2 linked regions of the Oryctolagus cuniculus genome follow. The protein of the gene in region 2 interacts with the protein of the main gene of each other region in a biochemical or structural test. Links are inferred from orthologs where the notes say so. Each region holds a gene or a part of one and is shown on either strand. Other genes may lie near its edges.

Region 1 (4,235 bases), on a different chromosome or scaffold from region 2:
CCAGGCTGAAGCCAGGAGGTCCGTCCTGGTCTCCCACAGGGTTGGCAGAGGCCAAGACACTTGGGCCATTTTCCATTTCTTTTCTCAGGCCACTATTAGGGATCTGAATGGGAAACTGAGCAGCCCAGACATGAACTGGCACCCATACTGGATGCCAGCTTCACAGGTGGTGGCTTTGCCCACTACAGCACAATGCTGCCCCCTGCTACAGATATTTAAAGAGTTAGATCAAGTGTGTGACTGTCCTGAGGAGAGAGGCTAAGGGAAGAACCTGCGATTTCTAAGTATGGGTAGCAGACACAGACGGGCAGATATTATGTGTTGATATGTAGTTTTTCTATATTTTGGGAAACTGACAACCTTACATGAACCTGCTGAGGTGATTATCTTGAGTCTTATAATTACTTCTCTTTCACACTGGGACCATGTCCATTTTCAGCACATCAAGGGCTATTGGGATGTGATGAAGCATTGCAAGCAAGGGATGCCTATTATTACTCATGTTTTTTTCTGTTCTCCTCAGGATGTGAATGACATCATTTACAGGTACGTGTTGTGTGAATCCAGGGATGGTCCTGTGATGCTGTGAGAAGAGATTTGTAGCCATTAGAATTATTTAATATTCATATAGAAAAAAAAGACCCAGGGTGGGGAAATTTATATGTCATGATATCCCAAATTTCTGATGATAATTCTCAGATTGACTGTTCTGCAACTACATGGAACAGACAAGATTCTATGGTCGAGAATTTGAGTTGTGGAAGTCACAGGTTTGCTGTCAGTATTGATATTAGGGATAAGATATATTAGTGTCAGACCCCTGTGATATCACTATGGAATTTACCCTCTGTTCCTTCAACTAGATCTGTTTATGTACATAAAAATAATATTCTGGAGGGCGTGTATCGTTTTTGTCTGCTAAGTACCCATAATGTCCAGTGAGACAGTTCTTGCATATTTTTTCCCCTCTGGCAATAGAAATGATCAGGTCCTTCTTCGTGGTTCTATTTAGATATTCAAAAACAGATTTGAATCTCTTGGAACAATGCTTTCGTTCCCTCATACAAACACTTGATCCATCTTAGTTGTCAGATACTTTCAAAGAGTGTGGAAAGGTGTCATTTTGATGTCTAAACCTTTGTAAAATCAAACTCCTTCCAAACACATGGAACTCAGACTAGTATTACTTTGCTGTTTGTAATATGTCCTTTGTGAGGTGTTTGTAATTTTCACCCAGATAGTCTGGGATCTCAGGTGTTGTCTGAGGGCCAGGCTGTTTTTTGAACAGTCTTTGAAGATCTTCGGAATCCCCAGATAGGAAGCCACATTTGATATGTCTCAAACTTCCAGGAATCAGTTTCTACAACCTCACTTTCTATCTCCCTTGGAACCTCTACCCAAGGCATTGATTCTACCACATATTAAATACTTTATAAGGTAACAAAGTTTGACTTCATTTTCATTTTCAGGTCTATAATTGCATCTTCCTCTATGAGTCTAGGATATGCAGAGGGTGAATTTAATTATTTCATTTTAGAAAGAAGAAATTGCTTCTGAGAGGTCCAGATCTGTTCAGGTTCACACAGGCAAAATAGATGGAAAAGTGAACATCAGAAAATTCCTTCTGGCAGGATTCTACCCTCTCCCTTCTCAAGAACCCCCTTAGAGAGGATTCCAGTGCATTAGTGGAGTAAAATGATAAGAAGCTGATGTTAGGGGAACACAGGGTCAGAGGTGTGGAGGTCAATTTTGTCTTTTTGCATTTTAGGACTGAGACCTTCACCTTGAAGAAGCCAAAAACTTTTCCTGAGAAAGAAAGGAAATCATTTCAAATTCATGAGCTGAAAAGGACAATGCAGATGTTTCAAGGTTAGGAGAGCTAGATCCAGTGTCTGGCTGTGGATGAGGAGATACTAAGTGGGAAAGCGGGTACAGTTCGTAGATATGTATTGAAGAGACAAGGGAGGATGCACGTTGTGTGGTAATGTGGTCCTATTTAATGGGGAACCACAAGGTCCTGGTTCACTGTCCTACCGTTGTCCTCTCTCCTTCCCCTAATCTGGTGAAGAAATAGATTTCAGTGCTGTCTTATTTGCTTATATTCAGTACTATGATTTTTATCATTTCAGACCTGAGACATGCCCAGCGCTATTGGGGTAAGTGTACATCACAATATTACAAGCCATCCTGTTGCCATCTTTCAGAATTTTGTTCTCTAGTAAGTCTCATGTTGATCACTCATGTTTCTCTTTTCAACACACATGGAGTTTCTGCAGTGTTCTGCCTCTGCCGATGACCAAAGTTCCACCAAGTTCCAAACTCTCAAGTTCTTCTCAAGATTATTCTCATAACATACAAATAACTACATCATGTCCCTAACCTAACCCTCTATTTTTCTACAGTTCACGTGACATTGACTCCAAGCAACAATCAAAATATTGTCATTTCTGAGAATAAGAGACAAGTGATGTATGTGCATTACCATCAACGTCTCAATTTATTTTCTCTTAGTGATGATCATGGCTTTCGATATGGGACTAGGCAGAATTATTTTGATGGCATCCTGGGTTGCCCAAGTATCACATCAGGGAAACATTACTGGGAGGTAGATGTGTCTGGGAAAAGTGCCTGGATCCTAGGTGTATATGGCCCACCCTTATTGCAAACCACAACATCGTTTGCTTATGAACAAGTTTCAAAGTATCGGCCTATAAATGGCTACTGGGTAATAGGGTTGCAAATTCAATATATTTCTTTTGAGGAAAATGCCATTTCCTTAACACCCATTGTTCCTCCTTCTCGTATTGGAGTTTTCATAGACTATGAGGCTGGCATTGTCTCATTTTTCAGTGTTACACAGCACAAGTTTCTCATATATAAGTTCTCTGCGTGTTCTTTTTCTAAGGAAGTTTTTCCATATTTCAATCCTATGCATTGTCCAAAGCCCATGACAATCTGCGAGTTGAGCTGTTGAGCCTCCTTATACCCTCCACTTCAGTGTGGTATCTCTTACCCTGGGGTACATCTCTTGTGTCTAAGCCCATCTGTACCATTTTAACTATTTTTTCCTTTTGAGTGTTTCCATCCTTTCCATTTGAATGTTTTTCATTCACTGTAAATAAATGGTTTCTAATAATATGTATCAGTTTACTTTCAAAATTGTTTCCTCCACCATGTTTTAAGAAATAGAATAACTTGATTAAAGAATCACAAATTATTTATTTTTAGCAAATTGTAAATAATTGTCTCTGTATAATTAAAAAAATTGTTCCTATCAAGTGCATAGCTGTGTCATCTTTTATTTTTTATTTCTGCAATAATTCTGCTTCATTGGAAATCTTTTACTGTGTTTATTTAAAGTGTTGTTTAAAGACTTGTTTGCGGGGGCCGGCGCCGTGACTCACTTGGTTAATACTCCACCTGCAGTGCCGGCATCCCATATGGGTGCTGGGTTCTAGTCCCGGTTGCTCCTCTTCCAGTCCAGCTCTCTGCTGTGGCCTGGGAAGGCAGTGGAGGATGGCCCATGTCCTTGGGCCCCTGCACCCACGTGAGAGACCAGGAAGAAGCACCTGGCTTCTAGCTTCAGATAGGCATAGCTCCGGCCTTAGTGGCCATTTGGGGGGTGAAGCAACGGAAGGAAGACCTGTCTCTCTGTCTCTCTCTCTCTCACTGTCTATCAAATAAAATTTAAAAAAAGACTGATTTGCCAGGCCAAAGCTAGGAGCCTGGAATTCTATCCAGGTCTCCCATGTTTGTGCAAGTGCCCAGGGACTTGAACCATCATCCTCTGTTTTTCTAGATGCATTAGCCTGGAGCTGGATTAGAAGTGGAGCAGCTGGGACTCAAACTGCTGCACATTTTGGATGCCAGTGTTGAAGGTAGCAGTTTAACTCACTGTATCACAATGGCAGTCCCTCTGTTTATTTTTTAAATGAATTTTAAAATATATTTTGCACAGTGGTACAAGGAGAGGCAGAAGTTGAATTCTGAAAATTCTTGATTATAATGTAGGTAAGTTTTGCTGATTACCTTCAGTCTTTTTTTTAAAACTTTTATTTAATGAATATAAATTTCCAAAGTACAGCTTATGGATTACAATGGCTTCCTCCCCATAATGTCCCTCCCACCCACACCCACAACCCTCCCCTTTCCCACTCCCTCTCCCCTTCCATTCACATCAAGATTCATTTTCGATTCTCTTTATATACAGAAGATCAGTTTAGCATACATTATGT
Region 2 (5,026 bases):
CATAAAAATTAAAAAATCGGAAACAATTTAAATGTCTCCCAATGTGTGACCAGTTAATATGGTACTTTTTTTTTTTTTTTGAAATATTTATTTATTGGGGCCGACGCTGTGGCTCACTTAGCTAATCTTCCACCTGTGGTGCAGGCATCCCATATGGGAGCTGGGTTCTAGTCCCGGTTTCTCCTCTTCCAGTCCAGTTCTCTGCTATGGCCCAGGAGGGCAGTGGAGGATGGCCTAAGTGCTTGGGCCCTGCACTGGCATGGGAGACCAGGAAGAAGCACCTGGCTCCTGGCTTCGGATTGGCACAGCGCCAGCCGTGGCGACCATTTGGGGGGTGAACCAATGGAAGGAAGACCCGCGCTGGCCCCCACATGTCTCTATTTCTTGCAACAAATGCATATTACTTTTCTAATATACAGTTATGGAGAAAAAAAATTTGTTAAAGATTTATCTATTTGAAAGGAAGAATTGGGTGGGGATAGGAGAGAGAGAGAAAATTTTCCATCTGCTGGTTCACTTCACTAATGGCTGCCGAGGACCGGTGCCGGTCCAGGCCTAAGCCGAAAGCCAAGGAGGTTCTTCCAGGTCTCCCACGCGGGTGGCAGGGGCCCAAGCACGTGGCGGTTGAAAACATTCTTAAAAACCTGCCCAGTGGTTATTTTGTACCTCTCTCAGATTTCTTAGCAAGAAAAGATCTGGGGCTGTACAATGTTCCTCTTCAGCTCGAAACTCAAAACACATCCACTCTGGACAGCTGGATAACGGTTCTTCACGGGGCCGCGGGGGCTCTGCCCTGAGGATACAACCCAGGCGGCTCCCCACTCCTGCACCGTGGGACTCAGCGGGCCCCAGTGTTTACCTTCTAATTTCAGGAGTTAGAATCGGTCTCTTTCAGATGTAAAGGAGGCAGCATTTGAATCACAAACCCTGCGGGTGAATGTGAGAATATGGGCATTTTCTCCCAGCAAAATATTCCTGGCTACCTCCCGCTAGTCTCCAGCTAGATCACGAACACTGCCTGGCCCAGGCTGGGCCGTGCACTACGTTATTCTGGTCCTGGTGGAGGGCTCAACAGACAAGGTGCTGAGCTAGCGCTCTGCTTTCAGCCCCTGAAAAACCACTTCCCACATTCCACGTTCGCCTGCTAGCAGGCGCAGGACGCTGGATTTAACTACGGGGCACCGCGTATTCGAGGTAACTGCACCAAGCACCTCCCCTAACGCTGACATGCCCTCTCCCGCCCGGGCCCTCGTGGCGAAGGGCAATCTCGGGGAGGATACCCCCGATCCCGGCGGGTGCCGACTGCCGCCACAAAGCTGCGGCCAAGTGGCCCGTGCAGACCCCAAGACTTCAGATAAGTCCGAGTCCGGCCGCTGAAGAGCTGTTTGACCTTGGACAAGTCCCTTCCGCCTTGCAGGGACTTTGCAACGTGCCAAGTGCCCGCTCGGGGGACTAACGCGGGAACGGGCTAGCGACCTACAAAGCCTCTGCTTTCACGTGCTTATCGAGCTTCAACTACACGCGCTGGGGGGTACGACACGCAAAGGATCCGAGGGGCGCCGCGCGGGAGCGACCAGAACCCGCGCCTCGCCTCTCGCGAGATCTCCCAGCGCTTCGCAGCGTCATCCCCTCGGCGGCCGCGGCGGCGACAGCGACGGCGCGTACGAGCCTCACAGGGGCGGCACGTATCCCTCCGCCGCCGGCGCGGCCCGGCCCTCCCTGCGCTGGCCCGCCAATCCCCGCGCCTCCCGGCCTGCCCCTCGGCCTGGGCCCACCCCGCGCTCGGCGGCCCCACCCCGGCGGCGCCGCCCGCCCGCCCGCGCGTCCCTCGGTCCACCTGCAGCCCGCAGGAAGGCCGGCAGTCCCTCCGGCTGTTCGACCGAGAGGCGCCCGCCGAGCCCGAGGCTTGGGCGCTTGCTCCCCGGCGGAGGGATCCGTGGCGGCTGAGGAGGCGGCGCTGAGCCTGGGAGGAAGAGGCAGCTACGGCGGCGGCGGCGGCGGCGGCGGCTGGGGCGGCAGCGCATAAAGGGGCCGCCGCCGGGTGATGCGGTGACCGCTGCGGCAGGCCCAGGCGCTGAGTGGGCCCCGGCCCTCAGCCTGTCCCGTCGGACCCGCGTCCCCCACCTCCCCGTCCTCTTCTGCCGACCCGCGATCCCGAGGCGGCCTCAGCCCCCCTCGTCCCTTCCCCGTCCCTCCCCTGCCCGGGGGGCCGCCGCCACCCGCCTCCCACCATGGCTCTGAAGAGAATCCACAAGGTAAGCCACCCGGGGTCGGCTGCGGGGCGCGGGGCGCCGGGCGCGGGCCGGCAGAGCAGCCTGCGGCCTGCACTTCCCGCCGTCGCCTCCGCCGGGCTTGCGGTCCCTGGATCCCGGTCGGCTGCGGGCGCCGGCCCCGCGGGGCGGCCTGCACACCCCACTCCCAGTGATGGCGCCCGTGGAGGCCCCGGCGCGCAGCCTGCGCTGAGGTCGGAGGTGCCCTCGCCCCCTCAGCGCGCCTCCCCGGCCGCTTTTCCCGGCCCGCGAGGTGTTGAGTCCCAGGGCCTCCGTCCAGCCTGGTACTGCTGAGTCGAGGGCCATTGTCCGGCCAGGCCGGGGTGGGGGGTGGGAAGGCTGGGCGTTGGGCTGTCCGGGCGCGCCCGGTCTCTGCCCACTCCGCACCCCGCCTGCCCCAGTTGCCTTCGCAGAAGCCCCGGAGCTCGGGGCCCCTATCTCGGGCCGCTGGAGGAAGCCTTTTTGCCCGGCCCTCAAGTAGTTCTTGAGTTCACTTACCTCTTGGGCGGCTGCATGCTTGGGTCCATCCTGCTTGTCCAGAAACAGAGAGCACAAAGTTCGGAAGGAAAAGCTGACCCTGATGAGGAAGGAGGGAAGTAAAAGCAGAAGGCGGTTTATTGCTTTGAGATTCCCATATGTAGTCGGCCACTGGCCCTTGAGTTTTGCGAATTGGTCTGCTAGATAAACGATTACCCTGCAAGGGTAGCAACCAGTCGTTTCAGAAATCTGACCATAGGCAACCACAGGAGAAATTTCAGAAAGATTGCTTTCCGCAGTCTCTTCGCAAAATGGGCTTTGAGGTTGAAATTAGGCGATACTTTTAGGAAATCCTTTTTAGGAGGAGTTTTACTAGGTTTTCTGTTAGAAAGGACTTTGCTCCTTAAAAGGAATGTTTATTAATTGCGTTATTTGGAAGGAGGTTTTCCTGATCCTTGGCTGGAACCATAGCCTTCACCCGATATTGGAAGCTGTCAATGCAGCTTACTATTGTTTTTGTTTTTTTCCTTAGAAGTGAGGAGGCACCACTGACATTTCTTTGGGTGTTCCACTTGGCTAGTCAGATTGGCTATATTAACCTGCAGCTGCTTAGGGAGAAGTAGGTGCTGGGATCCTGAGTCCTGAATGGTGGTGATGAGCATGCAAAAGGGAGAGAACCAGTTTTCGTCTTGCCTTAAACTAAGAATGCAGGTTGATGATTTAAACACCTCAGTTCAGGCATTGATCTTCATTGCATTTCATTAAAGATTGGAGACTTTTATTGTGAAATTATATTTTTTAAAATATTTATTTACTTGTTTGAAAGAGTTACACAGAGAGAAGGAGAGGCAGAGAGAGAGAGGTCTTCATCTGTTGGTTCGCTCCCCAAATGGCTGCAACGGCTGGAGCTGCGCCGATCTGAAGCCAAGAGCCAGGAGCTTCTTCCGGATCTCCCACATGGGTGCAGGGGCCCAAGGACTCAGGCCATCTTGTACTGTGTTCTCAGGTCATAGCAGAGAGCTGGATCGGAAGAGGAGCAGCCAGGACTCAAACCACGGCACCCATGTGGGATGCTGGCACTGCAGGCGGCGGCTTTACCTACTATGACACGATGCCAGCCCAACATTGTTTTCTATAAATTAGATTAGATCATTAGCGACATTTTTGAATTTAAAGCAAATGATAAAGAGCAGACTTTAGATAAAGTAAATCTTGTAATAGAATGAAGTGTTTGTTAAAAGAAACTTGAACTTAAAGTAAGGTCTTGGGAGTTAAAAGCAGGAGCACACTGAGGAATGTTCTCCCAAGTGAAATGTTTGTGAATAAGTATTTTAAGACTTCTAGAAGTTATTAGGTTCTAACAGAGTTTAGTGGGGAAGTTATCAACCTGAGTTGACACTTGGTTTTATTTCTGTAGAAGAATGCTCTTATTTTAAAACCTAAAGAGGATTGTGAGTACAGTGTATAGTACTTCACAGATCCAGAAATGTAGCATTTAATCTGTGCATTGATATATTGTGTTATGGATAACTGCTTTGGAGAAGAAAATAGCACTTTGATTCACAATACATATTTTAATCTAGTAATACTTGTACCCACTAATAAGATTTCTTTTGAGTTACTATCTATTTTCTAGAATTGTCTTTTTCTAAAATATACCCTTAAAAAATTTTTTTTTAGTAAAAACAAGTTTGAAAATGATAATTTGAACTTTCAAATCTCAGCATTAACCTCTTTTTCCCCCCCTGGTTTTTTTTTTATTATTTTTTATTTTTTTTTTAAAGATTTATTTATTTATTTGAAAGTCAGAGTTACACAGAGAGGAGAGGCAGAGAGAGAGGTCTTCCATCTGCTGGTTCACTCTCCAGTTGGCTGCAACGGCCAGAACTGTGCCGATCCGAAGCCAGGAGCCAGGAGCCCCTTCTGGGTCTCCCACGTGGGTGCAGGGGCCCAAGGAGTTGGGCCATCCTCTACTGCTTTCCCAGGCCACAGCAGAAAGCCGGATGGGAAGTGGAGCAGCCGGGTCTTGAACCGGCGCCCATATGGGACGCTAACACTTCAGGCCAGGGTGTCAACCCACTGCACCACAGTGCCAGCCCCTCCCCCCTGGTTTATAATCTAGAGCCATCTTCAAAGTTTGACACCTTCTGTGAGACTATCAAGAATTAGAGAAATGAGATTTATTTATGCTGTACCAGTCAAAAAGATTCTGAAAGCAAAGTGGACTTAATTGTTTTCAAACTTTTTGTATGATACTAATTTTAAGTTGATTGGCAGAT

Evidence for each region.
Region 1: the proteins of UBE2D2 (region 2) and TRIM5 form a complex in vitro, tested with the Homo sapiens proteins (2 studies listed by BioGRID). The link is inferred for Oryctolagus cuniculus from reciprocal best matches to the Homo sapiens genes UBE2D2 and TRIM5.

Annotation. Positions count from the first base shown.
Region 1 is NC_091432.1:61,208,102-61,212,336, reverse strand, and holds the end of TRIM5 (tripartite motif-containing protein 5), read left to right. Parts: intron 1-439; coding exon 440-546; intron 547-1,768; coding exon 1,769-1,869; intron 1,870-2,129; coding exon 2,130-2,156; intron 2,157-2,402; coding exon 2,403-2,974; 3' UTR 2,975-3,283; downstream 3,284-4,235.
Region 2 is NC_091437.1:27,258,648-27,263,673, forward strand, and holds the start of UBE2D2 (ubiquitin-conjugating enzyme E2 D2), read left to right. Parts: upstream 1-1,764; 5' UTR 1,765-2,231; coding exon 2,232-2,255; intron 2,256-2,768; exon of another isoform or gene 2,769-3,287; intron 3,288-5,026.